7 linked regions of the Macaca fascicularis genome follow. The protein of the gene in region 1 interacts with the protein of each later gene in a biochemical or structural test. Links are inferred from orthologs where the notes say so. Each region holds a gene or a part of one and is shown in the gene's direction. Other genes may lie near its edges. The genes, in order: SIN3A, SMARCA4, ZBTB16, SMARCA2, MECP2, MXD1 and KLF16.

Evidence for each region.
Region 2: the proteins of SIN3A (region 1) and SMARCA4 form a complex in vitro, tested with the Homo sapiens proteins (2 studies listed by BioGRID). The link is inferred for Macaca fascicularis from reciprocal best matches to the Homo sapiens genes SIN3A and SMARCA4.
Region 3: the proteins of SIN3A (region 1) and ZBTB16 form a complex in vitro, tested with the Homo sapiens proteins (3 studies listed by BioGRID). The link is inferred for Macaca fascicularis from reciprocal best matches to the Homo sapiens genes SIN3A and ZBTB16.
Region 4: the proteins of SIN3A (region 1) and SMARCA2 form a complex in vitro, tested with the Homo sapiens proteins (2 studies listed by BioGRID). The link is inferred for Macaca fascicularis from reciprocal best matches to the Homo sapiens genes SIN3A and SMARCA2.
Region 5: the proteins of SIN3A (region 1) and MECP2 form a complex in vitro, tested with the Homo sapiens proteins (2 studies listed by BioGRID). The link is inferred for Macaca fascicularis from reciprocal best matches to the Homo sapiens genes SIN3A and MECP2.
Region 6: the proteins of SIN3A (region 1) and MXD1 form a complex in vitro, tested with the Homo sapiens proteins (4 studies listed by BioGRID, with this or other methods). The link is inferred for Macaca fascicularis from reciprocal best matches to the Homo sapiens genes SIN3A and MXD1.
Region 7: the proteins of SIN3A (region 1) and KLF16 form a complex in vitro, tested with the Homo sapiens proteins (2 studies listed by BioGRID). The link is inferred for Macaca fascicularis from reciprocal best matches to the Homo sapiens genes SIN3A and KLF16.

The regions. Positions count from the first base shown.
Region 1 is NC_088381.1:52,618,009-52,621,508, reverse strand, and holds part of SIN3A (paired amphipathic helix protein Sin3a), read left to right. Parts: intron 1-1,537; coding exon 1,538-1,776; intron 1,777-3,006; coding exon 3,007-3,190; intron 3,191-3,500. UniProt on the Homo sapiens protein: Acts as a transcriptional repressor. Corepressor for REST. Interacts with MXI1 to repress MYC responsive genes and antagonize MYC oncogenic activities. Also interacts with MXD1-MAX heterodimers to repress transcription by tethering SIN3A to DNA.
Region 2 is NC_088393.1:11,528,665-11,532,829, forward strand, and holds the start of SMARCA4 (transcription activator BRG1), read left to right. Parts: upstream 1-1,365; 5' UTR 1,366-1,541; intron 1,542-4,165. UniProt on the Homo sapiens protein: ATPase involved in transcriptional activation and repression of select genes by chromatin remodeling (alteration of DNA-nucleosome topology).
Region 3 is NC_088388.1:113,178,040-113,181,539, forward strand, and holds part of ZBTB16 (zinc finger and BTB domain-containing protein 16), read left to right. Parts: intron 1-174; coding exon 175-342; intron 343-2,979; coding exon 2,980-3,209; 3' UTR 3,210-3,500. UniProt on the Homo sapiens protein: Acts as a transcriptional repressor. Transcriptional repression may be mediated through recruitment of histone deacetylases to target promoters. May play a role in myeloid maturation and in the development and/or maintenance of other differentiated tissues.
Region 4 is NC_088389.1:97,177,729-97,181,668, reverse strand, and holds the start of SMARCA2 (probable global transcription activator SNF2L2), read left to right. Parts: upstream 1-1,140; 5' UTR 1,141-1,280; intron 1,281-3,940. UniProt on the Homo sapiens protein: ATPase involved in transcriptional activation and repression of select genes by chromatin remodeling (alteration of DNA-nucleosome topology).
Region 5 is NC_088395.1:160,165,549-160,169,591, reverse strand, and holds the start of MECP2 (methyl-CpG-binding protein 2), read left to right. Parts: upstream 1-1,243; 5' UTR 1,244-1,276; coding exon 1,277-1,338; intron 1,339-4,043. UniProt on the Homo sapiens protein: Chromosomal protein that binds to methylated DNA. It can bind specifically to a single methyl-CpG pair. It is not influenced by sequences flanking the methyl-CpGs.
Region 6 is NC_088387.1:52,028,699-52,032,781, reverse strand, and holds the start of MXD1 (max dimerization protein 1), read left to right. Parts: upstream 1-1,283; 5' UTR 1,284-1,520; coding exon 1,521-1,593; intron 1,594-2,313; coding exon 2,314-2,413; intron 2,414-4,083. UniProt on the Homo sapiens protein: Component of a transcriptional repressor complex together with MAX. In complex with MAX binds to the core DNA sequence 5'-CAC[GA]TG-3'. Antagonizes MYC transcriptional activity by competing with MYC for MAX binding.
Region 7 is NC_088393.1:2,485,594-2,489,634, reverse strand, and holds the start of KLF16 (Krueppel-like factor 16), read left to right. Parts: upstream 1-1,241; 5' UTR 1,242-1,325; coding exon 1,326-1,782; intron 1,783-4,041. UniProt on the Homo sapiens protein: Transcription factor that binds GC and GT boxes and displaces Sp1 and Sp3 from these sequences. Modulates dopaminergic transmission in the brain.

The DNA.
Region 1 (3,500 bases):
GAGGCCGAGGCGGGCGGATCACGAGGTCAGGAGATTGAGACCACAGTGAAACCCCGTCTCTACTAAAAATACAAAAAATTAGCCGGGCGCGGTGGCGGGTGCCTATAGTCCCAGCTACTCAGGAGGCTGAGGCAGGAGAATGGCGTGAACCCGGGAGGCGGAGCTTGCAGTGAGCCAAGATTGCGCCACTGCACTCCAGCCTGGGCTACAGAGCGAGATCTGTCTCAAAAAAAAAAAAGCAAGCATTTCTTTGTTACTTATGTTTAGTAAGGTTAGCTGATGAGTTAGCAGAGCTTGGCATCTGTTTTTGACAGAATGTTCCTATCCCCTCTCAACTGGTATGCTTCCAAATGAGAGGCAACTTCATTTCCCATTTATGACTACAAGGGCAAAGATGAAAGAAGTGGGGTAAGCATGTGTTTAAGATTTGGTGGGATGAGCGAGTTTGAAGGAACATGTTTACCAATTAAGATAGGTTAGTAATGCTTCAGTACAGACAGCTCCCACATCTGAGTGACTTGTAAAGCCAATGGGTTTAATTTCTAATCATTCTACATGTACATTGATGTTTAGCAGGGGATTTGGCATATCAGAATCACTTGGGGATTCAGGCCAAGGGATTGCCACCATTATGATTGTTGCTAGTCACTAGGAGGAAAAGAGATCTCAGAAGGATCTCACACCTTTAAATGCTCCAGCCTAGAAGTGATAAACATTACTTCTTCTCAACTCATAACAACTCATTTGTCAGAACTAGTTACATGACCCTATCCAATCATAAGGGAGTCAGGAAGTTAGTCCATTTTTTGTCGGTAATTGGAGAGCAAGAGGGGCCAGAAGTATTGACAAAATGATGACCACATTTCCAAAACAAGAAAATTTAGGGAACACTTCTGCAAACATTTGGTTGTAGACTGTTCATTTAGGAGTCCAATAAGAATTTAAATCATTACCCGCAGATACAACAGTGAACTCCTTAGGGTATGATAGTCACTGCTCTTATTATTACTGGATGTGGAACAAGGCTATTGAGTATTTTAGTATTTGAATATATTTAAATATTTCAAGTTAAAAAAAAAACTCTCAAGACAGAGCCGTCTTTTGGTATTGTTTTGATTGTTATTGTTTGTTCATAACGGATCTTAGCAATTCAGGAAAGTTCAGGGAAAAGTATCAGTAAAGTCATCTCTTGTTAGGTTCCTCCGGTCTAAGATCAGTAGTCTTAAGCAAAGCACATGGTGCAGGTGGTGGTGGTGATAACTACCGTTTATCCAGCTTCATCCTGTGGTTCTTATGTGCCAGGTATTGCGCTGAATACTTTATGTGGATTGTATAATTTAATCCAGAAATAGGCTTGTGAGAGTAATAGGTGCTGTTATCCCTATTTTGCTGATAAAGAAACAGTCTTATGTAGCTAGTAGGGCAGAACCAGGATTCAAATCCAAGGAGTTTGACTCCCTACCTTATTTTTCTAATCACTACTCTATTCTATTCTGATTTGGGTCCTGAGCATACCCTTCTTTGTCTTCCTCTTCAGCTTGATGTAGTTTTAGAGACCAATCTGGCAACAATCCGGGTTCTGGAAGCAATACAGAAGAAGCTTTCCCGCTTGTCTGCTGAGGAACAAGCCAAATTTCGCTTGGACAACACCCTTGGGGGCACATCAGAAGTCATCCATAGAAAAGCACTCCAGAGGATATATGCTGATAAAGCAGCTGACATCATTGATGGTCTGAGAAAGAATCCCTCCATTGCTGTTCCGATTGTCCTTAAAAGGTACCTGAGCAAATGTGCCCTTAGTGCTTTAGTGTGTACTTCATTACTGGTTCAGTGTCCCATTAAATAAGTCTCTCATTTTCAACCTGGTTGTCCCATGAGACCTCTCTTTCTCCCCAACCCTGGGGGAGTATTTTAAAATACAGAAAAGAAGATAATTACCACCCATGTTCCTGCCACGCTCAGGACTAACTGTTGTTAACATCTTTGTGGTTTTTTTGTTTGTTTGTTTGTTTGAGACAAGATCTCTCTCTTTCACCCAGGCTGGAGTGCAGTAGTAAGAACACAGCTTACTGCAGCCGCAACTTCCCAGGCTCAGGTGATCCTCCCACCTCAGCCTCCTGAATAGCTGGGACTACAGGAGTACACCACCACACCCAGCTAATTTTTATTTTATTTTTTTTTAATAGAGATAAGGTCTTGCTATGTTTCCCAGGCTGGCCTCTAACTCCTGGGCTCAAGCAGTCCTCCTGCCTTGGCCTCCTCAAAGTGCTAGCATTACAGGCACCAGCCACACCATGCCCAGCCCCATGTCATTATTGACCACACTGTAAATCCTTTGTTAGGAGCTTGGTTCTCTCAGTATCATCTGGTAAAAACTAATTCTTAGTTGCTGCACAGTTCACAAATACCCAGATTTTATTTGTCCTCCCTCATCTTCCCCTCAAGAGCTGGCACAGATTGATGGTTTCTTCTTCTTGCCTGTAGTATTTAACTTCTGGCTTTTGAAATATAGGTTATTCTTCAGTTTTAGTGCTGTTTTTTTGTCTTAGCCTGTTCTCTTCTGGTTTATTAGAATCAGTTCTGATCAGAACTTTCCAGACTGTATCCAGAGGAACATAACTGTGCAAGTTCTCTGCTCTTGGACTTCTGTGTTTCTATTAGCATTGTGAACATTTTACAAAGTCCTACAGCAGAGAAACAAGAACTCTTTTTGCAAGGAATACTTACATCTCAAAGGTATTCCCTGGAATGCTGTTTGATAAGTAACCATTCTAGGTAAATTATTTGACTTTGAGATAACTCATTTCCCCAAAATAAGTCTTAGATAAGTAATTTCCTCATGAAACAGAGTTCAAGACTGGTTTGATAACATCCCAAGTTGCCAATAATTTTGACAGACCTAATATAGCTTTGACTTTTCTTGAAAGAAAGTAAACCTGGCAAATTTCTTTCTTCTAAACCCTCTGAATTCCCATATGTTGTTTCCATCCCTTCCCACTTCACTAGGTTGAAGATGAAAGAGGAAGAATGGCGAGAAGCTCAGCGAGGCTTTAACAAAGTATGGCGAGAACAAAATGAGAAATACTACTTGAAGTCTCTGGACCACCAGGGGATCAACTTTAAACAGAATGACACAAAGGTCCTGAGGTCTAAGAGCTTACTCAATGAGATTGAGAGTATCTATGATGAGGTGAGCTGGGGTTTTCTACATCTGTGAGTGGACTCTAGTCTATGTTTAGCACAGCTTTGATTTCTGGAAATTACCTTTGTTAAATGCAGGTGAGACTCTCTAAGACCTGTTGATTCCTGCTTTATAGCTGTCATAGCCTTTTCTATTCCTCATTCTACTATTTTAAATCTAAACTTTACCTTTATACCTAAGCTATTTGACTAGTTCCCTAGTTTACTATCCTGGTTTCAACTTATACCTCCTGCCTCCATTTTCCACTTCTCCCACTGCCTGTTTCCCTCAAACAATACCTTGTATCATATAGTCCCAT
Region 2 (4,165 bases), on another chromosome or scaffold:
GCTCACTGCAACCTCGCCCTCTGGGGTTTAAGCAATTCTCCTGCTTCAGCCTTCTGAGTAGCCAGGATTATAGGCGCCTGCCACCATGCCAGCTAATTTTTGTATTTTTAGTAGAGACAGGGTTTCACCATATTTGTCAGGCTGGTCTTGAACTCCTGACCTTGTGATTTGCCTGCCTTGGCCTCCCAAAGTGTTGGGATTACAGGTGTGAGTCACCGTGCCTGGCCTCTTTTTTTGTTTTTTGAGACGGAGTCTTGCTCTGTTGCCCAGGCTAGAATGCGATGTTATAATCTCGGCTCACTGCTAGCTCCGCCTCCCGGGTTCACGTCATTCTCCTGCCTCAGCCTCCTGAGTAGTTTAGGACTACAGGCGCCTGCCAACATGCCCGGCTAATTTTTTGTATTTTTACTAGAGACCGGGTTTCACCATGTTAGCCAGGATGGTCTCGATCTCCTGACCTCATGATCCACCAGCCTAGGCCTCCCTAAGTGCTGGGATTACAGGCGTGGCCTACCGCGCCCGGCTAATTTTTGTATTTTTAGTAGAGACGGGGTTCACCGTGTTGGTCAGGCTGGTCTCTAACTCCTGACCTCAGGTGATCCGCCCGCCTCGGTCTCCCAAAGTGCTGGATTACAGGCGTGAGCCACCAAGTTCAGCCTCTCACACTGCGCTCTTTTGCTTATTAATCTTGCTTCTTGTCCTCCTCCCCCACTAGACCGTGGGATCCACGGTGGCTGAGATACAGTAGCAGATCAATAAATATTTGCTAAGCTAATTAACGGCACTCGGGAGGTTTTGCAGAGAAGGCGGCCACGGTCGGGCCCCGCCTAGCTCCCCAAACAGGCCTTGCCGCCCCAGATCAGGGATCAAAGCGGTTCCCAAGCGCGCCCTTGGTCCGCGGAAAACCACTGCCCGGTCTTGGCCCAGGCGGCCGGTCCTACGGTCCAGGGTTCCTATTTCCGAGCCTCAGGAACCTCCTTTCCCCATGGATCCCACAGCCACCGGGATCCCATCCCCCAATTGCCCCGCCGCCACCGCCGTCGCCGTCGCCGCCGCAGTGGCGCCCGCTCTGCGCATGCTCCCGTGCGTCAGGACGCGCGGCGTGCGGAGGGCGAAGCTGCCCGTGCGCAGGCGCGAGGCCTCGCAGCCCGAGTGGGGCGGTGCACGGGACGCGCGTGCTTCCTCCGGACCACGCCCACCTCTGTCAGCTCTGGAGCGGGCGCGCACGCGCGGGGGGAGAGGAAGGGCGGGCTGGCGCGCGCACAAGGCTGGGCAGGCGGCGGAAGCTGGAGAGGCCGCCGCGGTGCTGAGGGGGAGGGGAGCCGGCGAGCGCGCGCGTAGCGGGGGCGCGGGCGGCGCGCGTGTGTGTGAAGGGGGGGCGGTGGCCGAGGCAGTCGGGCGCGCGCGCGAGGCTTCCCCTCGCTTGGCGGCTGCGGCGGCTTCTTTGTTTCGTGAGGAGAAGCGAGACGCCCACTCTGCCCCCGGCCCCGCGCGGAGGGGCGGGGGCGGCGCCGGGAAGGCGACGGCGCCGGCGGCTCCCGGTAAGGAACGCGGGCCGCGGGGGCAGCGCGGCGCGGGGCCAGGGAGGGCGGTTTGAATGGAGCCGGGGCGCCGAGGGGGGAGGGGGCCGCCGGCGCGCCCTGTGCGGGACCGGGGTACGGCGGCGCCCGAGGGTCAAGAAGCGCCGCCGGCAGCCGCGCTCGTGGGGAAGGCCACAGCGTCGCGAGGCCGCGGCAGCGGCGGTCCCCGCGGAGCGGCGGGGTGGGTGGGGGGCCCGGGCCGCGTGGAGGCCGCGCGATCCTCTCTGCGCGCGCTCTCGCCGGGGTCGCCGGACAAAGCTCGCCCCCCTCGCCCGGCACCCCTACAGTAGCCCTCCCAATTGCAGCGGCTCCAACAATAGGCAGGCGTTGGGGCTTTTCTGGCTGCGTGTTAAGGGGTCCGACCCGAATGTTGCCTTTTTGGCGAAGCTACGATCTGGGCTCAGTAGCCAAACCTCCAGATATGTCCGGCGTCGGCCGGACACGGGCATTAGCGGCCCCCTTGGGCTAGCCGACTTCAAATTGTCTTAAAAACGCGTCATTCCAGATTTTCAAGGAAAGGTAAAGGACTCCCCCAATGACTTTCAGTTAGTGACTTCAAAATGTTTGCCCGGAATTGGGGTTGGGGATGGGGTCGGCGGCAAGTAAGGGAGCACGGTGGAAATCCTTTGCTGTGTAAAAGCATTGCTTTTCTTTTGCATCCTTTTTCCTCCTTCCCAATTGGTTTTTCAGATTAAGGCTTTTATTTTCAACGTGGACCTTTTAGGCGAGTGTTTTGTCCGGATCTTGAAGACACCAGTCTTGATTTTTTTTTTTTTTTTTTTTTTTTGGTCAATGTCTCCTTGGGGAAAGTAGAAAGGGAGTAAGCGGAAAAGCCACTTCGCAGGAATTTGAAACAAGTTTTCAGTTTGGATTGATAGGGTGCATTAAGCTTGATTCCTGGTGCTGTCAGTCACTTAGCACACTGTCACTTTAGGGAAGTGCTTAACCTCTCTGAACCTCTTAGTTTTCCTCCTTTGTGAAAGCTCCTTTGTGAAAGGGGGTAATCTCCCAAATGCAGTTGGTAAAAGCCTGTAAAATGGTTCCTGGCAAGTGGGAAGCACTGTTGTTACTGTCTGGTTCAGTCTCCCTCATTGTTCAGCAAATAACTTCTTGAGGTCCTACTAAGTGTTGGATGGTCGGGGGGTTGGATCCTGGAACCTCTGCAGTCTTGGAGGGGATCGGGTGGTCAACGTGGGAACAAACACTCTTGGCCTGTCATTTAATGCTCTTGACCTGCGCTGTGAGAGGGACACAGCGGACAGGCAGGGGATCGGTGGTAGCCAGAGATCACGGGGGCTGCCTGAAAGAGGGGCCCTCAAAATCAGGGAGGATATATGTAGGATTGTATTTTGTTTTTGAGACAGTCTTGCCTGTCGCCCAGGCTGAAGTTCAGTGTCCCGATCTCCGCTCACTGTAACCTCTGCCTCCTGGGTTCAAGCGATTCTCCTGCCTTAGCCTCCTGAGTAGCTGGGACTACAGGTGCCCGCCACCACGCCTGGCTAATTTTTGTATTTTTAGTAAATATGGTGTTTTACCATGTTGGCCAGGCTGGTCTCAAACTCCTGACCTCAGGTGATCCACCCACCTCGGCCTCCCAAAGTGCTAGGACTACATGTGTGAGCCACCGCGCCAGAAGTGTATTTTGACTTTCCCTGGCCACCTGGGACTAGCCATTGTTCCCCTCAGCTATACTCACGCATCACCTTGGTCCTTTCCGGTGTAGCTGTCACCCCCAGCACCGTGAGAGCTGGGGTTGTGTCTGCCTGGCTGACCCCAGAGTACTCTGGGCCTGACACATAGTAGGTCTTTAGAGAAATTCTGTGGATTGAATGAGGGGGGTGGGGTCCTGTGGAAGATCACGTGACCATCTGTGTAAAAGGCTTGGTGCAGGGTGGGGTGCAGTGGCTCACACCTGACATCCCAGCAATTTGGAAGGCTGAGGTGGGGGAATTGCTCGAGCCCAGGAATTTGAGACTAACTTGGGCAACATAGTGAGACCTCATCTCTACAAAATATATAAAAATTAGCTGGGTGTGGTGGCATGTGCCAGTGGTCCTAGCTACTCAGGAGGCTGAGGTGGGAGGATTGCTTGAACCAGAGACGTGGAGGCTGCAGTGAACCATTCTTGCGCCCCTGCATTCCAGCCTGGGTACTAGAGTAAGAATGTCTCAAAAAAAAAAAAAAAAAAAAAAAGAAAAAGGAGAAAAAAAAGCTTGGTGCAGAACTGGGCATGGGTTGTAAGGGATACAGGTTAGTTATTTTAACAGTTTTGGAACTTTCCAAGCCATTGTTTCCCGAACCTCAGTTGTCTTCCTCTCCCCTACAAAGTGTGGGGTGGTGGTTAGCGTGGGGCGGTGGTAAGGAGTACCCATTCTGGAATCAGACCTCCTGAATTCACACCCAGCTCTTGAAATCCTAGCTTAACCTCAAACGAGGCGCTTAGCAGTAGGGCCCCCACTTGTGAAACAGGTAGGACGAGGATGCCTGAAACTTCACAGGCTTCTTGTGAGGGTTGAATGAGGTCACATGGGAAGCCGCTAACACACTGCAGCACCTGATGCATAGTGAACACTCGATTTTTTTTT
Region 3 (3,500 bases), on another chromosome or scaffold:
AACACAGGTATTGCTTGTTTATTCAATGGAGGTGTGGCCGTGGATCCCTAAGTTGTCTTTGGAGGTGGTGAATACAGGCCGTCTCATCCTTCTCATGCACTGAATGTGCCCTACTGGCCCCTGAGGAGGGGGCAGGGAGAGGCAAATGCCTGATCCAGCTGCTTGTCTCCACAGGCGACCACCCCTACGAGTGTGAGTTCTGTGGCAGCTGCTTCCGGGATGAGAGCACACTCAAGAGCCACAAACGCATCCACACGGGTGAGAAACCCTATGAGTGCAATGGCTGTGGCAAGAAGTTCAGCCTCAAGCATCAGCTGGAGACGCACTATAGGGTGCACACAGGTACTGAAGGCCAGGGAGGGGTCTGAGCTGGCTCTGGGACCTGGGTGGAGGTGGGAAGCAGATGGTCTCCTGGAGAAGCCTAAGTGAGGATGATCCCAGGCTGAATCAAAGAGTAGAAGAGGTTCTATTAAGGGCTGGTATGATGACCTGAGGGCCACCACACCCCAGTCAAGGTGGCCTGAGGGCCACCAGTCAAGGCCAAGGCAGACATTACTAATCAATCCCAGCACACTTTCCAATGAGCCCCCACCAGCTCTCCAGGCAGCTATACCAATAGTTCAGAGGTGACATGCAAAATGATGTCTGTATATGAGTCCTAAATTAGGGGTAAGTTGGTCCAGTTAGCTGGAAGCGAAGGTTAGGGGTAATTTCATGTTACTCAAGGGTTACAGTAAGAATTAGGATGCATTGAATCAGGTTATTATGGAAGTTGGGAAATTGTAAAGTTAGATTGTGTTTGGTTCTGAGATTAGAAGAGCAGATATATTTAATAATCCCTATATGCATATGATGTTTTACCATTTCAGAGTGCCTTCACATTTTTTTTTTTTTAGACAGAGTTTCGCTCTTGTTGCCCAGGCTGGAGTGCAGTGGCATGATCTCAGCTCACTGCAATCTCTGCCTCCTGGGTTCAAGCAATTCTCCTGCCTCAGCCTCCCGATTACCTGGGATTACAGGCGTGTGCCACCATGCCCGGCTAATTTTGTATTTTTTTTTTAGCAGAGACGGGTTTGCCATGTTGGTCAGTCTGGTCTCAAACTCCTGACCTCAAGTGATTCACCCGTCTCGGCCTCCAAAGTGCTGGGATTACAGGCATGAGCCACCGTGCCCGGCCACATTATTGTTTGTATTGGAAAAAGAAATGTGGGCCACTGCTTTTCCTGAGGTCAGAAGACAAAAGAAGTGAAGGGTCTTCCACAGTGTCCGAGGTTGGGGGCAGTGGAGTATTGGAGCTTGCTTGTGAAAGCTAATTTTTCACATTTCTTCACAACTTCAAGTTCAGCGACATCACCTTAGTTGCTTAAAATTGGCCCTGGTAGGAGTATTCACATCATAGCAATCAGCAGATGCTACAAACCAGGGCTTTTTAGAAAGCCAGTTGTTAAACATTTACCACCAGCACATTGCTGGTTGTGGGGAAGGCTGATTTACAGAAGGGTAAGAGGTGGTGGCACATGGAAAACAAAGAAACCCCTCTGATCGGGGGGACAGCTGTCCTGTCCAGAGGAAGGGGGAGAGGTGGCTTCAGGCAGGTCCTGCTGGCTTAGAGGAGAGTACATTGCCTTTGGAGGAGAAGGGTGGACAGAAGGAGCAGTAAGCAGAGCTACGTGTTGTCAGAGCTCAGTTTTCGTGCCCCAGTTTGAGCCCCCAAGGACAGGGTTGGGTGTCCATTGCTGACACCTATAGTGACCCAGAGGATTTCCCAGAGCCCTGGGGTTTCCTTAGCCCCTTGTCGGGGATGTGACCTGGCAGGTGGATCATTAACTGTATTGGCAGTGACTATTGTAAATAGCTGGTCGATGGTTAGATCACTTTGGCTGTTCATTACTTCATTATTTGCTGGGGCCTGTGCACGGAGGAGTATTGATAGCGAGATGGCTGGCCAGTTAATTACTGTATTGAAACAAGGTTCCCTCACATCCTCTGCTCAGCTCTAGGGGACTCTATGGAAGGAAAGTTGGGGTATAGAAGGCTAGGGTGTGGCTGTGTACTCCCAGGTTCTTTATCCTTCCCATCCCACCCCACCCCCAATTCTAGCCTCAGGAGGGAGGCAGGGTCCAGGGCAAAGTCTTAGCAGTTTTAGCAGGATAGGCCGGGTGCGGTGGCTCATGCCTATAATCCCAGGACTTTGGGAGGCCGAGGCAGGCAGATCACTTGAAGTCAGGAGTTCAAGCCCAGCCTAGCCAACATGGTGAAACCCTGTCTCTACTAAAAATACAAAAATTAGCCAGGCATGGTGGCAGCACCTGTGATCCCAGCTACTTGGGAGGCTGAGGCAGGAGAATCACTTGAACCCAGGAGGCAGAGGTTGCAGTGAGCTGAGATCGTACCACTGCATTCCAGCCTGGGCAACACAGTGAGACACCATCTCAAAAAAAAAAAAGGCTTTAGCTGGATAGAGGTTCCCAGGTGCGGCATATTTGAAGGACTGGGTTCCCTCAGTTTTCCACCACCCCTGCTCCCCACCATCTGTAGCCCTGAAAGGTCTCAATCCACCTGCTCCCTGGATGGAACTGCGGCTCGAAGAGCCATTCCTGAGGACCGTGGGGCCTTTCTCTTTCTAGACACTCATTTTCTTAATTAGAAAGGGAAAAGACTGTGGCCTTAGGAGAGTTAAGAATAGTAAGACAAGGAACTGGGCAATCCAGTAGTCAACTAGCTACATGTAGCTATTTAAATTAGTTACAATGAAATAAAATCAGAAAACTGTAGAGCTCCAGTCGCACCAGCCTGGTTCATAGCCATGTGTGACTGGTGGCTGCCGTCTTGGGTGGTGCCTTCATTGTCCCAGAAAGTTCTGTTGGAACAAGCCCAGCAGGAGGAACCCAGCTTCCCTGGCACACCTGAGGGTGACATGGTGCCCTCACCGCCCTCTGTCTGTCCTCACTTTCTCCTGCCCTGTCCCTCTGCCCTCAGGTGAGAAGCCCTTTGAGTGTAAGCTGTGCCACCAGCGCTCCCGGGACTACTCGGCCATGATCAAGCACCTGAGAACGCACAACGGCGCCTCGCCCTACCAGTGCACCATCTGCACAGAGTACTGCCCCAGCCTCTCCTCCATGCAGAAGCACATGAAGGGCCACAAGCCCGAGGAGATCCCGCCCGACTGGAGGATAGAGAAGACGTACCTCTACCTGTGCTACGTGTGAAGGGAGGCCCGCGGCGGTGGAGCCGAGCGGGGAGCCAGAAAGAAGAGTTGGATCGAGATGAAGGAAGGACTATGAAAAATAAAAAAGGAAAAGAAAAAAAAAAAGAGAAGGAAACGGAAACCTGATAGCTTTTTGGCCTTGGATTCTCTCTGGGCTCCAGATGACCTGGATGCCAAGCCACTGCCCCTCCTCTGGGGGCCTCCACCCTCCTCTCCCGGCTGGAGGTTTGCCTGATTTTCTGGGATGGGGTGGGGTATTTTGTTCACTCAAATGGTGGCACATTTTTCTCCT
Region 4 (3,940 bases), on another chromosome or scaffold:
GCTGACTTCAGCTCTGTCACAGATGTTGACTCACCACTGGTCTGCCTTCTCTCTCCCTTGCCACTCCCTTCCTTCTGCCAAAGTTAGCATGCTGGATCAGTAGGATGCAAAGCTGCGCATGACCCTTTTTGGGGCTGGACACTGTCATCTGGCCAGATAAACTAACAGGCTAGCAAATCCAGTTGGGGCTGGTTGTACTTTGCCCACGTCTGTTGCAGCATATGGTGCATTCACTTGAAGTGACTGACAGAGCTATTTAACTTTGCAGTTTGTTCGTCTGATGCCCCTACCCAAATACCACACATACTGTCACATATTGGTGAACAGTCTTCAGTGTGGTTGCAATTCATGGCTATCATAAGGGGAATACTTTAAAATTGGATTTGAGCTCCATAGTTCCTAAGATGGCAGAGCTGGACAGAAACATTTGGAGACATACCCTTTAATTGGCCCCATAAATTTATACAGAAAGAAATTGAAGCAGAAAGATTGAGTGACTCCCGCAAGGACTCACACAGCCAGTTAGTATTAGGACTAGAGCTAGAACCTTCGACCCTGACTTCCAACTCAGTGTTTTTTCCAGCTCAGGCTGTTCACATGTTGCCTTTCATTTTATCTCCAAAATTTGGCCCCTTGGAACCTTTCCTGGAATTGGACTTCTGAGCCTAAAGTGGCTTAATGCACACTTTTGGGAAAGGATAGCCAGGAGGCCTCTAAGTGGTTTTGATCAAGTTTGCCAGTATTTACACCCTAGGATGATCTGCATAAACTTCATAAATAATGTAAATTCCTACAAAGTGAGTTAACAGTGAGCTACATGGTCTTTTGAAAAATCCGTGTTATGCAATCACCCTGGCAAAGTTAACAACGCAATAGAGTACTGAAGGTAACCACTGATTGCAGTCACTGCTATTGACCATTTTAAGTGTGACTATTTTTAAAATACTGTATGCCTCATTAAGCTGGGCTCTGAAAATGAGGAATTTGCTTTAACTGCATTGTTTTGAATTGCTGAGAGAAGAATCTATCAACCACAAGGTGCCCTGCTGCTGAACTCAGCCAAAAAGCTGTTAATAACTCCAGCAGATGTTTCAGCTTTTTAGGCCAATAGACTCCCTTTCTCCCTGCCCTCCCCTTTCCAGAATCTGATGCCAATATGACTGAACTCCAGTTTTTGTGGTGGTTGTCGCCACCGCCGCCGCTGCTAGGGCCGGTGATACAATGCCGCTGAGGAATGATCCTTTAAACAACCGGTGGCCACAGAACCTCAGCCCTTTAAGGTCAGAATATTATTGCTTTTACCATCAGAAATTTAAATCTTCAGGGGGGAAATGAAGGTAAGGGCACAAATTCAGTATCTTTGTTTTGTTGTCTGCCTTCATTGCTAGTCATTTTGTTTAGCTTTTTGTGGCTTCTCCCAATGCTAAAAGTGCATTTCTCAGACTCATCAGAGTGCTGGGCTTGCTAAGGTTAAGGGTCATTCATACACTGGAGGCTCCACTGATCCGGGAGAGAGGTTCTTGGGTTAGCAGCTTTACAAAGGGGGCCTCTGCGTGATGCACAGTTTTGTGTGGTTGTATGCCTGATACCGTGTGGCTCAGATGCCCTGACCTTAGCACTTCTGCAATATTAGATGTGAGTTTTATAAACACAGCTACATCCCTGTGAGATAGGTAGAGTATGAGGGCACACAGGGTCACCGCAGTCCCATACCAGGATTTATCAACATCTCTGAACTGGGATAAACCTGACATTGTCACCTGAAATTAAATCTACATTCCAATCTTTCCAAATGAGAAGACGTTAGAAATAAAGGCGGAGGAGAGATCCTGCCCCCTTCCCTGACACTTCCTGCCCTGCCTCCTACTCAATTATTTTGGAGAGGGTGCTTTAACACACCCTGGTGACAACAGGGTGACCAAGAAAACACAGGTGCACCGCATTATGAAATGCTGTGTTGGCTAGGAACACATCTGAACTGCACATCTATACACATCATCATGCAGAGAATTGCCATTTCAAGGGGGGAAAAAATGAGAGGCAGAATTAAGTTCATAAATATTTTGTTTCCTTATTTTGATGCAACACAAAGCCAGAATATCCAGGACTCTGTGGACCTCTATTGTCAGCTTCAACATTTGCCAACCATAGTAATTCAACCCCCAAATCTCTGCTGTATGCCATACTGGCTGTAAAAAGTAAGTGCCTTTTCCCTGGTGTCGCTGCCACCATACTGTTTGCATGCTCTCAGCCCTGTATCATTCTAATTCTCAAGAAAAGCTCAGGAATACAACGCAAGCCCCGCCGCCCCATCACTTTTTTAACTTGGATAAAGAAATAGATTACATTGTGACTTGGTCCACATTCTCTTAAGTACATGTGCAGAGAACTCATTAATGCTAATGGAATTTGCGCATATGCATTGAAGGGAGAATATAGTTGCCCGTGCCTGTGTATTCTTTATTTTCTTACTGTACACTTGAGGGTTCTGTGGCACCTATAGCTTCTAATTCTGAAACATGAGTAATTCAGATTAAAAAGTATACCATTCATTTTGAAATATATTTCAAAAGCAAATGGGATGGATATTTCTGCTTAGATCACTATGATTCCAAGAAGCCAATACCAGATGATGATTCTTTAGTAAAATAAGCAACCAATGTTGTAATAATAAAATACGGTTAAAAAAAAACAGCAAAAACTCGCTACTGAATCAGTAGAAAATATATTCTCATTATTTAAAAAATACCTACAAAATAACCCACATGCATGTCTAGGGGAGTAAAAACACAAGATGATGGGGTAAAAAAGAACTGAAAATAATCATAGGTAATCTGAGACTCCAAGCCTGCCAGCAGTGAATATTGGTGACAGGCATTAACAAACTATGTGGGGATGTCTGAGGCCCAGCTAAATCCAGACCATGTACTTCATTAGGTCTTGAACTTTACCTGGAATCTTGTACTGCAAATGATGATTTCCAAACTGTTTTGTTCTTGATTATTTCCAGTCCAAGTAAAATGGACAATAAAGAAAAGATGCTTCCATGCTGTTTCCATGATGGATGTTCACAACCAAAATAACTTCACCATCTGATGTATTTCACAGTTTTAAGTTAAAACAGACATACTATAATATGCTTGTACATCTGGCTCAGGTGCTTCATTTGCCATATGTTTGTGAAATAATCCAAGGAGATGTTACAATTGTACGTTCCCCTTGGGACTTGAAGAAAATGTGCCCACAAAGAGTTACCTAATTATTCATTCCTGCCAACAACATCCTCTCCTAATAAGAAGGTGGTTCTTAAAATGAGACAATAGTGCTTTCAGTCTTGAGAGATGTCAGTACCACTTATTGTTTCAGAAACAGAAAATCTTATGCATTTTTTAAAATAAGAAAAAGATCTTTGGCCTTTAAAGCAAATAAAATACTCTGCAGGCGGTATATTTGGTATTCTTGTGGGGGCAAATTCTGCAGCGCTGATCAAGGCCTATTATTTCCTGAAACTCATTGAATTAAAGCCCATGAAGCCACATAGAAATTAGTGACCCAAAGTTGATAGTCTCTAAGGAATGGCTGCTCTGGCAATACTATACATTTATGGAGAACTTTGTAATCGGCAAATTGCTTTCATATATGTTACCACATTTAATTCTTATAATAATTTTGTGAAGCAGGTAAAAAAAGGCATCCCTTGTTTAATCATGCCACTTGTAGTACTGATTCTTCACAGCACTAATAAGCAAAATATGAACATCTTTTTTTAAAAAAATTGTAAATTACTTTGGTCTTTACCAATAAATACCACTTGCCATAGCACACATTTCTCTCTTTAAGAGTCATTGACAATCTGCTTTTTTCCCTCTTTTCCTGTTATTTGCATCCTTCTAAACTATGACTTTTTCTGATTCTATTTTAATTAAAAATTTGATTTTCT
Region 5 (4,043 bases), on another chromosome or scaffold:
GAGGATGAAAACCCATAGATACCTAAATAGCACCCCCTTTACTCTTACTCTATCTTTCTCAAAGCCCCTGTCACTATGTGAAATGATACATTATACTTATGTGTATGCTAGTATGAATCTTCCCGGCAAGAATCTTAGTATGCTGTCTGTTCAGTACCATGCATCCAGAGCCTGGAAGAGTGCCTGGCACATAGCAGGTAGTCAATAAATGAATGGGGGCAGGCAGCCAAATCAGAATCAGGTTTTCTTGCTAAGCATAGAACTAACAGAAGGATCACTGAATGGATTGGATAATGACTGGCATCAGGGTAAGGTCCCCTTAACAAACACTCCTGTCCTGAACACCTGGTTAGCTAACACTTTTCTCATATTTTCCCAAAACACAATTGCTGGATCTCAGCTCCAAATCCATTTTTCTAGGAAAGTGAACAATTGCTGGATCTCAGCTCCCAAATCACATCTTTCAGGCAGAGCTAACATTGCCCCTTATTCACACCTCCACCAAACCATCTGATCCAACAATGACAGGTGTCACGAGGCCTTGGCATGCACTCTCTTCCCCCGCCAGAGTTCTGCGAAGGCCAGGGTTGGGATTTGTTGTCAGTTTATTCCCCACCCCTACGAGAACGTGACCACCGGGCAGGCTCAGATGAAATAATGCATTGAGTAGGCCTCTGAAACCAAGGCCCCTCAGCTGGGGCAACGTCAGGCTCCAGGGCGGGTAACTTTGCTGCTTCTGCTGAAAATGGTGATATTGAGAAACTGCGGGTGCAGTGAAACGCTTATTGCAGCGCACTCGGTGCATCTGTGGACAGAGGGTCAATCGCCCCTCAGGGCCGCGCAAACAGGCGTCCCGAGCCTGGGCCTTCACTTGCCCCAGCATCCGCAAGGGTCCATTAATCCTTAACATTCAAATTCCGCCCACTAAACCAGCCCCTCCGCGCCCAAGCCGCCTCTTTTCCCCAAACGTCGGCCGAAAGCAGCCAATCAACAGCTGGAGGGGACCGCCTCCTTTTCCCTGGCCGAAATGGACAAGAAATCTCGCCAATTGACGGCATCGCCGCTGTGACCGCCCCCCCGCCCCAGCCCGGCCATCACAGCCAATGGCGGGCGGGCTCGCAGCGGCGCCGGGGGCGGGGCGCGGGCGCGCAGGTGCAGCAGCGCGCGGGCCGGCCGGGAGGGCGGGGCGCGACGTCGACCGTGCGGGGTCCCGGCGTCGGCGGCGCGCGCGCTCCCTCCTCTCGGAGAGAGGGCTGTGGTAAAAGCCGTCCGGAAAATGGCCGCCGCCGCCGCCGCCGCGCCGAGCGGAGGAGGAGGAGGAGGCGAGGAGGAGAGACTGTGAGTGGGACCGCCGTGGCCGCGGGCGGGGACCCTTGCCGGGGGGCGGGGGTCAGGGGCGGGACGTGGCGCGGGAGGGGCCCGCGGGGTCGGACGACACGGCTGGCGGATGGCGTCCCTCCTCTCTACCCTCCCCCTCCCGCCGCCGCCGGTGGCGACTCTCCCTTCGGCCCGTCACCCGTGCTCGCGGGTGACCGTCCTCGGCGCGGCCTCCCTGGAGCCGCCTTCGCCTGACGCCCCTCTTCCTTCCGCCCTCGGCGCGCATCCCGGCCCCCGGCCCCGCGGGCGCCCCTGTCGCCGGGGCTTCGCCTGTCGGGGCTGCGCGCGCTCCTGCCCTGCTCGGGGCTTTGGGCCGCGGCGCCGTCGCGCGCCCGCGGCCCCGGCCTCTCCCTGGATCGCGCTCTCCCCTCTCCTCCCTCGCGCGCCCCCTCTCCCGTTACTTGGCCCCCCCCACCGGCGCGCGTGCGCACTTCGCCTCCCGTCGGGAGAGTGCGCCACAAGGGCTCCTGAGCTCTCACCCCCATCTCTGGGCTTTGCCTCCCCCTCCTTCTCGCCCATTCCATGAATTTCTGCCCCCCCACCCCCACGCGAGCGAGTAGGTCCACCGGCTCCTTTCCCCATCTAGCAGGAACAAGGAGGTGGGGATTATTGTCCACAAAAGGACTAGACATTGTGTTCTGGGTCCCACAACTCATCATAAAGAGGTGGTTATAGTTCCCATCAGGAGCCGTGAGTAGGGGACTGTGCGTCCAGCAGCACCCGAGGCTCTTCGGCGCCTGAGGCTCTAAGGTGCGAGCGTGTCCCCAGGGTGCTCAGAGGTTCTTTGGAGTGCTGTGGCCTCGGAATGTGAGCACCCTCCCATCTTACCCTCCCCTTCGCCGGCGATCTTCCAGTTACATAAGTGGAGTGGGACATAGTAGGTAACGGGCTCTCATCGCCCTGGAGCGCTCGGGATCACCGGTACCAGATGGAGCAAGTTCATCGCGACGCTGTGGCTCCTGTTCATTGTGCCTGAAAGGTTATTCTCTGTTCAGTTTGGTTATGACCGAATCACCCAAACTGAAACTCAGATGACTTTTATATGGCAGTGGCAATGTTTCTGTGGTTTTGCACTAAAGACTTAAGGTCATTATGAAGAGTTTAAAAGGATTGCTCTCGCAGGGGAGACCGTTTATGACATTGCTAAGTATGGACCCCAAGGGGGAAAAAGCTCATTCTGGAATTGCTCTGTGGCGGTGACTTCTGTTGTGAGTGTGTTCGGGTGTGGGTTGGTCACAGCAGAAATGGGCTCCACCACAAAATTGATATTCCTGACTCATGGTCAGACAGATGTGTGCTTCTGGTTATTTTTCCAGGAACAGGAATGGGCTCTGCCGAGCCTTGCACACGTTGTGTCTCTGCTGTGCGGGATCAGTACCCCAAACTGAGATAACAGGATCGAATTCATGGGTTGGTTGGTGATCCAGGAACCATACCTACTTGGATGTGATACTGAGTGACTTAGACGTTGTAGGACTCTCATAAGTTTTAGGCATTTTGTTATACTGTAAAAAGCATATACGGCCTCGGTAGTAACGTTGCACTAATAGGTAATTATTACTCTAGAGAATTTTGGGTTCCGTGGCTGGAATGTTCATCTGTATCTCAGCAATTTCAGTTAATAACCAGATTAAGCTGACCTCTTGAGTCTTTTGAAATCTGCTGGGTCCCTATAATAAGATAGGGTCTGGATTTTTTAATCTTTTGGGAATTTCCACCAAGGATTTAGGGAAATAGGCTTATTTATGGGCTTTTCAGGATTTCTATTTTAAATCCCAGTCAGGAAGTGTAGGAAGCACTTGCTTTTATTTTCTTACGTGAATATGTCAGAACCTTAAATCACCCAATCAATCTAGAAGTAGTACAATTGATTAAAATAAGTCACCACAGGTCACCCATTCGTGGCAGGTCAGCTAGGTGGCTGATCACTGGAATACAGTCATATCCCCAGGCAGACACAGGAGCCTCACTTGACGATCCCAAAGTTTGTACATCTGAGCTTGAGACATGACAAGTTGAGGTCTCTGCTTTGTTCTTCATAGTTGGCAGTTTGTCTCCTCGGGTTCCCCTCCAGTTAGCTGTTTATCATACACCTAGCCCTTTCAACAGTGCAGGCAGCTTCCATAGTATAGTTTTCTCTTCAAAGTGCCGGGTGGAGGGGTACCCCCCTTTCCATTGTCCTAATGGCTCCATAGGGCTTCCATACCAGCCCTTTCCAGTGTCCTAACAGCTCAAAGAAACCATCTATGACTTTCTTGTTAGCACTGGCCTATCACACCTTCCTATTGCCTGTTACTAAAATTTAACCTGGAATGCTTTAAGCTTAGAGTACTGGGTCTTTGTTTTACCCGATTGATAGGAGAGTGTCATACAGTCAGCAGAACTCCGACTTTTGTGCTGTTTAATACTTAGGTAGGTCTGGGGCAAGGCACAAACCACTGTGTATTCAAAGGGTTATGGTGCTTACATTCTGTGTGTATATGTTTGTAATTTCCAACCAGAGTCATTTCCCGTGCCTGCCCTGCCTCTGTGCAATCTCATCTAGTGGAGTAGGGAGGCAAGCTGTGGAGTTTGAAAAAAAAATAAACAAAAAAACTGGCTAGATGAGTTTAATAGGCTGTTACCCCCTCTGGAACATTCCTCCCATGTGGAGATGAAATGAGAAG
Region 6 (4,083 bases), on another chromosome or scaffold:
AATACAAAAATAAGCTGGGCGTGGTGGTGGGCACCAGTAATCCCAGCTACTCAGGAGATTGAGGCAGGAGAATCGCTTGAACCGGGCGGGAGAAGGAGGTTGCCGTGAGCCGAGATTGCGCCATTGCACTCCAGCCTGGCCGACAAGAGCAAAACTCCCTTTCAAAACAAAAAAAACAAAAAACCCCCAATAATCTTGTGAGTGCCTTCATCTAGAATTAAAAGGGAGGGGAAAACCCTAAAAGAGATTTAAGTCAAAGAATCTTAGAGTTTAATGCCATTCTGTAGGTTCACAAAGTCTCAGCTTTAAAAACCCACTCGCGTGAAAGGAATTAATTATTCCATCATTTCCCGGGGATGGAGGGGGTGCGGAAAAGGCGCATGAGCTCAATGCTGTATATTGGAGCCCGATTCCAGCTCTTTCTTGAGGGCAGAAAAAACGCCAGGCGGCAAGCATTTAACAACCGCCAGGCTTTTCTTCTCAAGCCCCGCAGCAGCCACGTGGCGCCTGCCCGAGCTCCCGGCTCACCGGCCACTATCCTACACCGCTCTCCGGGATGATTCGCGGCTGGGCCCTCGCCAGCCGGAGTTCCGCGAAGCCCAGAACCTCCAGGGCCGCGGCCACCAGACCCAGGGCTCCGGCCCCGAACCCAAGCGGCGCAGAGCGCCCAGGCGACGCGAGGTGCCAGCCTTCCATTCGAGGGACGCCTGGCAGGTCCCCGGAAGTTTTCCCCGGGGACAGGTCTTGGCAACAGGTCCGAGGCGAGACCGGGTGGAGCCGAGCTCCGCGGCTGCCGGTGAATCAGCGCCGCCCAGCGCCGGACCGGCCCTCCCAGCCAATGCCACACCTGGTGAGGAGCAGGCAGGCCGCTGACCATCAGCCACTTAGGGCTCGCCTGAACTGGAGAAAGGTGACATCATCGTAGCTGGGAGGTTTCCGAAGGCTTCACCAATGGGAGACCGGCGAGGTGCTTGCCTGCTACAGCTCTTGGCCAATACTAACAAAGCAAAAGGGGGCCCGGGTTGTTGGTATAGAACCAATGGGAAACAAGGAAGGAGCACGAGGCGGAGTTGCGAATCCTGTCACCAATTGGAAAGAGGGGGTGGAGCCCGGGCCTTGTCAAGCGTGACCAACCAGCGAGAGGAGCGGACTTTGGGGGGTGGAGCCGTGAAGCCCTCTCCCAATCGCACAAGTTTGGGGGCGGGGCATTCTTTGGGGGGCCCAATGAGGAACGCGGCCGAAGCTGGCCTGTCAAGAGAAGGGGCTGGGGGCGGGGAGATGGTGAGTCGGGGATAAACACTCCGCGGCGGTGGCGGCTGCTGCTCTGCTCCGGGTTCTGTCACGGTGTCGGCGGTGCCCAGCTCACTGGCCCCCCTCCCTCTCTTGTCGAGCGTGGTTGCCAGAGAGGCTCCCTCAGCCCTGCTCCGCGGTGTCCACAGCGGGCTCCATAGCGGTCCGGCGGCGGCAGCGAGCCCGTGGGCAGTGGGGGTTGGTCCCGTGGCTCCGGCCCCCGGTGCAGAATGGCGGCGGCGGTTCGGATGAACATCCAGATGCTGCTGGAGGCGGCCGACTATCTGGAGCGGCGAGAGAGAGGTGCACGGGGACGGGAAGGGGTCCACTCGAACCGAGGCCGGGGGTCCTGTAGGGCCGGCCTCAGGTCCGGGCGCCCAGCCGCTCCGGGGGTGGTTGGAGGCGGGGAGACCGCGAGCGCTCCCAACCCCTCCGGCTCTCCCCACGCGCGGTCCGAAGGGAGGCCGCCGCTGCCCTAGAGCAATGAATCAGATGGAGAAGGGGCTTTCGCCCGCCGGGGTCCCGAACGCCGCCCCTTCCGCAGTCCCTCCCGAATGGGTGGCCGGGGCCCCCTCCGATAGCCTCCCTGGTTTACCTCACCCGGGCTGGTCCCGGCCGGCCCCCAGGTGGGTCCAGCGCCCCAGTCTCCTGGGCAGAGGAGCAGCGCCTCACGGTGCTTGCCCCGCACCTTCGCCTGAGGCTGGTTCCACTTAACCCGCACCAACCTGCTGGACGTTGCCAGTGGGAAACCCAGGCTGCGTGAGCTTAGCCACTACTGTGTCTTTCTCAACAATGAGCAGCTGGAATCCTCTTTACACCTGCTCCGAACTGAGGGTATTCACACAATGTTGTTTTTTTTTTTTTTTTTTTTTAATCATTGTTCTCAGAATTCCACCTTACTCCATTTAATTATTTCCACAATATTCTTTTAAAGATAAATAAAGGAAAAAGGAAATACTGTAGAGAGGAGAGAGTATTAAATATTCTGGGCCCATTCATTAACTGGATCCTCCTGTTTTCTAGAAGCTGAACATGGTTATGCCTCCATGTTACCATACAATAACAAGGACAGAGATGCCTTAAAACGGAGGAACAAATCCAAAAAGAATAACAGCAGTAGCAGGTAATTTGGTAAATACTTCTTTCTGTCTTTTAGATTATATTGTAGGTGACACAAACTGCTGAATGTAAGTTGCCTGTTGTGATTATAACCCTATAAAATTACATTGTGGCCGTCATGATTCAGTAATGTACACATGGACTTAAGACCTTGTAGGAAGCTGTTTCTGTTTGGGTTGAGGGAACTGAAAAGAAAAATAGAAATGTTTTACATTTTTTATGAACTTTATTCAAAATTTAATTTCGCTTTTCTTCCCTTTTGGAACAAAAAAATCTGTGAAAGCTTCAAGTGAGATTAGCAATGGTGACAATATTTTCCCTTCAGAAGTTGCAGATCAGGGCAAGTTTTCTATAAGTCAAAATGCTGGACATTATCCATTTCTTTTACTTTTCGTTGTAATGATTTTATAAACACATTAAAGTACCTGATTTGGCATAAGTGGTAGGATCTCATACTTGACATGTAAATTAAATACAGTGGTTTGTTTGATACTCTAATTTGTCACCTCTATTTGTAATGGCAAAGAGGAATGATTGAGGTTAAAACCTACCTCTTTAGTGATAGAGGAATATATAATACCGAAATATTAATATGCTACAACCTTTCCATGTTAGTCTTATAGATTGTCTTATACCATAGTTCTTAAAAGCTGTGAATCTCACTGGAGATTTGGTTAATGGTCAGTTAAATCACATATTAAAGTCCTGTGCATAGTTTCTGGTACATGTAAATAGTCCATCAATGTTACTGCCCTTTTTCTCCCTTCTTTGCCCTTAAAATGTAGTTGGCTAGGAAATTCGTTTTATTAGATCCCTTCAACTATACCTTTCCTGCCAGTAAATTAAAAGCATTGATTTTTTCATCACTGGTTTAGAATCCTCATCCCTCCCTCACCCTCATGAATAACTCCTTGCAAGTATCTATTTGATATTCTCTGTGGCTTAATACAGACCAGGAATTTCCCACTTAAACCTAAAAATCACTTGTTCTTGCTGCGTCTTCTGTACTTGGTTCACCTCATTAGTATCGTTGGTGGAACCACAGGATGTGAGCAGCATTACTTGTGCCATGCCCTTGAATAAAAATGGCACATGAAGAATCAACCTGGTAATTACTTGGTGGGTTTTGCTTGTCCTCTAATCTTAGCATTACCTGAAGGTGGTAGCCTGTAGTTTTGTGCATGGATATGAAGGCACTTTAAGAAGGTTGTTAATACTGACTTGTAATATGCAATGGTATAAAAACAATTCAGCTGTGTTGCATTTTAATACAGTATTTTTTTTAATTTGTTTAAAAGAATTTTGAGGCCTTTCAGTTAATTTTTCTGGAAAAACATAGTCCATTTTGGCTTTTATTATTGTCCACTAATGATTTGAGAGGAATTGTCCATGTTACTTATTTAGGCTTAATACCTTAACACCTTATTTTTTTCCTTAGTTTCACAGGAAGGTTGTAGGGGATGTTCACTAGTGGGGATAAAAAAATGAGATGTTGAAGTGGTTTGGTCCCAAAAGGTGATTAGGAAAGAAAAATAATAGTAGTTAAGAATCTTAAGCCAAGAAATGGATTCTTTCTAGTAGAAAGAATCAGTACTATGCCAAAAAAAAAAAAAAAAAAAGGGCTACAAATTCTTCTGTTAATGGGTTGGTTTGCTTTCCATGGTTAGAGACAGG
Region 7 (4,041 bases), on another chromosome or scaffold:
TGCCCCCGCCGCCTTGGGCCTGCGAACTGGGCCATCCGCGTCCCTGGCGTCCCCGTCGTCCCCGCCAATATTTAACAACTTGGTCTGGACGTCCTTGCGTCCGGGAGGCCCCAATACCTGGCCTCACTTTTCCCGTCCAAACCCCAAGGATCGATGCCTGGGACTGGAAAGAGAAGCCTCGGATCCCGGTGTCCCAGCAGGGCGGGGAACCTCTGATCCGCTCAGGCGTCCCCAGCTTAGCCCTTTCTTTGCATTCGGCCACCTCTTCCTGTCCCCCTATCCCGACCCTCTGGGACCCAACCGGCTCTCCCCACCCCCAGTGGGGCGCGCTCCAGTAGCTCCGGAACTGGGTGCAAAAAGAGGAACGAACGCAGGCTTGCCCCACCCTCCCGGGCCCCGCCGCGGGCGCGGGATACCGGGTGCCTCGGCCGGGAGGCTCCTAGGGGCTCTGTGAGCTGCGACGGGGAACCCTAGAGAAGAGGACGAGCAGATGCCTGGGTGCGGGGTCAAAGCAGGGCCCCAGGCCAGGATAAGAGGGGGGAAGGGTCGCGCACGTGGCCTAGGGGCGGGGCCGGCCGCTTCCGCACCCCCCCCAACCCCGGCCACGTGGGAATCGAGCCCTCCTCCATCGCGAACGGGGGCGCGCCCGAGGCCAGGGGGGAGGCATCCGGGGAGGGGGCGGGCTCCCGCCGGCCGCGCGCCCCGGCGTGGGTTGGGCGCGCCAGCGAGGAGGCGGGGCGTACTCTGGGAGGGAGGGGCGTGCCGGGATGGGGCGGGGCGCGCTCTGGGAGGGAGGGGCGTGCTGGAGACGGGGCGGGGTCCTCGGCCTCCCGCCCCGGCTTGGGGGGTGGTGCTCCGGGAGAGGGCACCGGGGGCGCGCGCTGGAGTGGGGCGCGCCGGGAGGGGGCGGGGCTCCCCGGCCTTGCACCCCAGTGCGGGGAGTGCGCGCTCCGGGCCTAAGACGCTGGGCGCTCCCGGAGGCCTGAGTGGGCGCGCCGGGGGGCGGGTTCCTCCGGCCCGAGCCCCGCCCCCGGCGACCGCGCTCGGAGTGGTGGAGGGCGCGCCGGGCGGGGGGCGTGGCTGCGGCGCCCCGAGGGGGCGTCCTCCGGGCGGGGCGGGCTGTGGCCGCCCCCGCGGGCTCCGGTGCGTCAGGGCGCGTCAGGCGGGGCGGGGCAGGCCGAGCGCGGGCGGCGGCGGCGGCGCGCGCCGGGCCTCCTCCTCCTCCTCCGCCTCCGCCTCCCGCACTTGAGCAGCCGCCGCCGGCCGGACGGGCGCCGCTCCCGCCGCCTCCGCTCCGCCCGCCGCGCCGCGCGCCCTTGCCCGGCATGTCGGCGGCCGTGGCGTGTGTGGATTACTTCGCCGCCGACGTGCTCATGGCCATCTCCTCGGGCGCCGTGGTGCACCGCGGGCGGCCCGGCCCCGAGGGCGCGGGCCCCGCCGCTGGCCTGGATGTGCGCGCGGCGCGCCGCGAGGCCGCCTCGCCCGGGACCCCGGGGCCGCCCCCGCCGCCTCCCGCCGCCCCTGGCCCGGGCCCTGGCGCCGCCGCGGCGCCCCACCTGCTGGCCGCCAGCATCCTGGCCGACCTGCGCGGCGGGCCCGGAGCCGCCCCGGGGGGCGCCTCGCCCGCCTCCTCCTCCTCAGCCGCCTCGTCCCCGTCCTCGGGCCGCGCCCCCGGCGCCGCGCCCTCCGCCGCCGCCAAGAGCCACCGCTGTCCCTTCCCGGACTGCGCCAAAGCCTACTACAAGTCCTCGCACCTAAAGTCGCACCTGCGGACGCACACAGGTGAGCGGAGCTGCGATCCCGGGCCGCGCGGGGGCGAACGCCTGAGCCCCCTCCCCCGCCAGGACCCCGAAACTGCGTGGCGCGTGGGGGGCGGGGAGGGGGGCGCGCCCGGGCCGCCGCCGCGCCGGCCGGCAGGGCGGGGCCTCGGTGGGTGGGGCGCGCGCGGGGGGCGTGGCGGCCACGCGGTCGGGCGGCGAGCGGATGGCCGCCCCGGCTGCAGTGGCTGGGGCTCCGGGGACCCAGCGAGGTCCGCGGGCGGGAGTGAGACTCCTGGGCAGGCCACCTCTCTCTCTCTGGGCCTTGTTCCGTTTTTTGTTTTTTTTCTTTTGCGTTATGGTCTGGGCGGTGGGCATTGTGGTTGGGGCATCCGGCTCTGGGGTTCTGGGTCCTCCCCCTCCCCCAGCCTCAGTTTCCTTATCTATGAAAATGGAGGAGGAACCGCGTCGCCGCCTCCGGGGTGGCCGCGCGGATTCTCCCTAGAGGTCGGCAGAGCACCTGGCGTGGGGCCAGGATGGGGGGGAGCCCGGCACGTTTTCTCTGCGTTCTCTGTATTTTAACGAGGGGGAGGGCGCAGCTGGGAGCGCCGGTTGGGGCCTGAGTCTCGGGCGGGGGGACATTATAGGAAGGTCCACACTACGTGTATTTCCCCGGCGTGTTTGTTCACCCCTATCTGGCAGGCGATTCGGGAAGGTGCGCAGGGTTGGAGCGGGGAGCGCTCCGGATACACCAACGCCCCTCCTAGCGCAGTCCCTGGGGCGGCGAGGGGAACCGGGAGCCGAGTGGGCCTGGCCGTATTTTTTCACTCTGACTCCTCCTTGGATTCCACCTTCTGGACTGGGAGTTTGGACTGGGGAACAGGGGACGGTGGGCCTTGATGGCCGGCCTGGTTTTGGGCATTAGAGGTGCTTGTCCCTTACTGGGGAGGGTGGGGGGCTGGGGGAAGCCTGTCGGGCCGCACTTGGGCTTGGCATTCTGGCCTTGCCACCAAACAGAGGACCTCTACCCGATCTGGGTCTCAATTTTCTCATCTCTATCAAGAGTGCGATGCTGTCTCTTATTTCATAGCCGTAGCGGGGGCCGTTTTGGGCAGCGGGATACTCCAAGGGGGCTTGGTCCGTGGGCTGGGATTGTAGGGACACGTGGAGCGGCCGAAGGGAAGCAGGTTGTCCAGAGTGGTGAGGCTGAGGTGAGCAGGGGCCGCGAATGCCTTGTGGAAGAATTGAGGGTTCATCCTTGGGGCGTGGGGAGCCGCGCTGGGACGCCTGAGGCTGGAGAGCAGGAGGGCGGGTGGGGGCGGTGGTTTGTAGCCCGCAGGCTGCCCCCCTGTCTTTTCTCCACGCTTTCCACCCCTTGCTCAGTCCCTGTCCTGGTCCCAGGGGCCTGGAGGCTCTGCCCACCTTGAGACACAGACGGGAACCAAGGGCGTCAAGATAGGACTTGGGTGGGGTCTGCGTTTTCTGCGAGGACCCCTCGGCGGAGGGGTCCCAAGGTGTTACCTCTTTTTGAGGGCAATAGGGTTCGTGTATCTCCGCGGGGAGGGACACTGGGGGACTGTGAAGATGGCGAGGCAGCGTTGGGAACAGAAAGGGAGGTGCCTCTCTGGGCGGTGGGCAGGGGTCCAGGAATGCCCTGGCTTGTCCGGGGTGAGTTTGCCGATCTGAACAGACAAGGGACTGAAGTGGGAGCCTGTTGAGAAAGCGACTCCCACTTGTCTACCCAGGTCATTCTTCCTATGCCAGATGGCGTGGCCTGAGAGCTTCATTTGGGTTTTCTGAGTTTCTGGGTGAAGTGGATGGGATGGCCACCTCCCACAGTGGCACCCAGGAGGCGCTTCCACAGGCCCCTGGGTAGTGGGGGCGGCGGTCCCTAAGCCAGCAGGGAGGGGAAGGATGGGTTCGGAGTCCTGGGAAGGCAGGATTGTTATCCTGGGATTGCGGTGATAAACTGAGGCCTGGGGGTGCAGATGTGCTGATGATTCGCCACCGTCTACCCTGTGCGGTGGGGGAGGGCAGGGTGGATCTCCTGGCACCCTCCCCCACCCCTTGGGAGCCTGCTGACATCCCATTCCAAAGCCCCCTTCACAGTAACGATTTGGGGACTGAGAAGGCAGTCCCAGGCCCAGGCACCTTGGATTAGGTTTCCAAAGGGTTTTGGATACTTGTGGTTTTCCAGGCTCCTCTTCCAGGCCTCCCCAGCCCCCAGGGCCACCAAAGGGTCTGTGCAAACAGCTTCTTTTCGTGGAAGGGGCTCTGGTTTTAT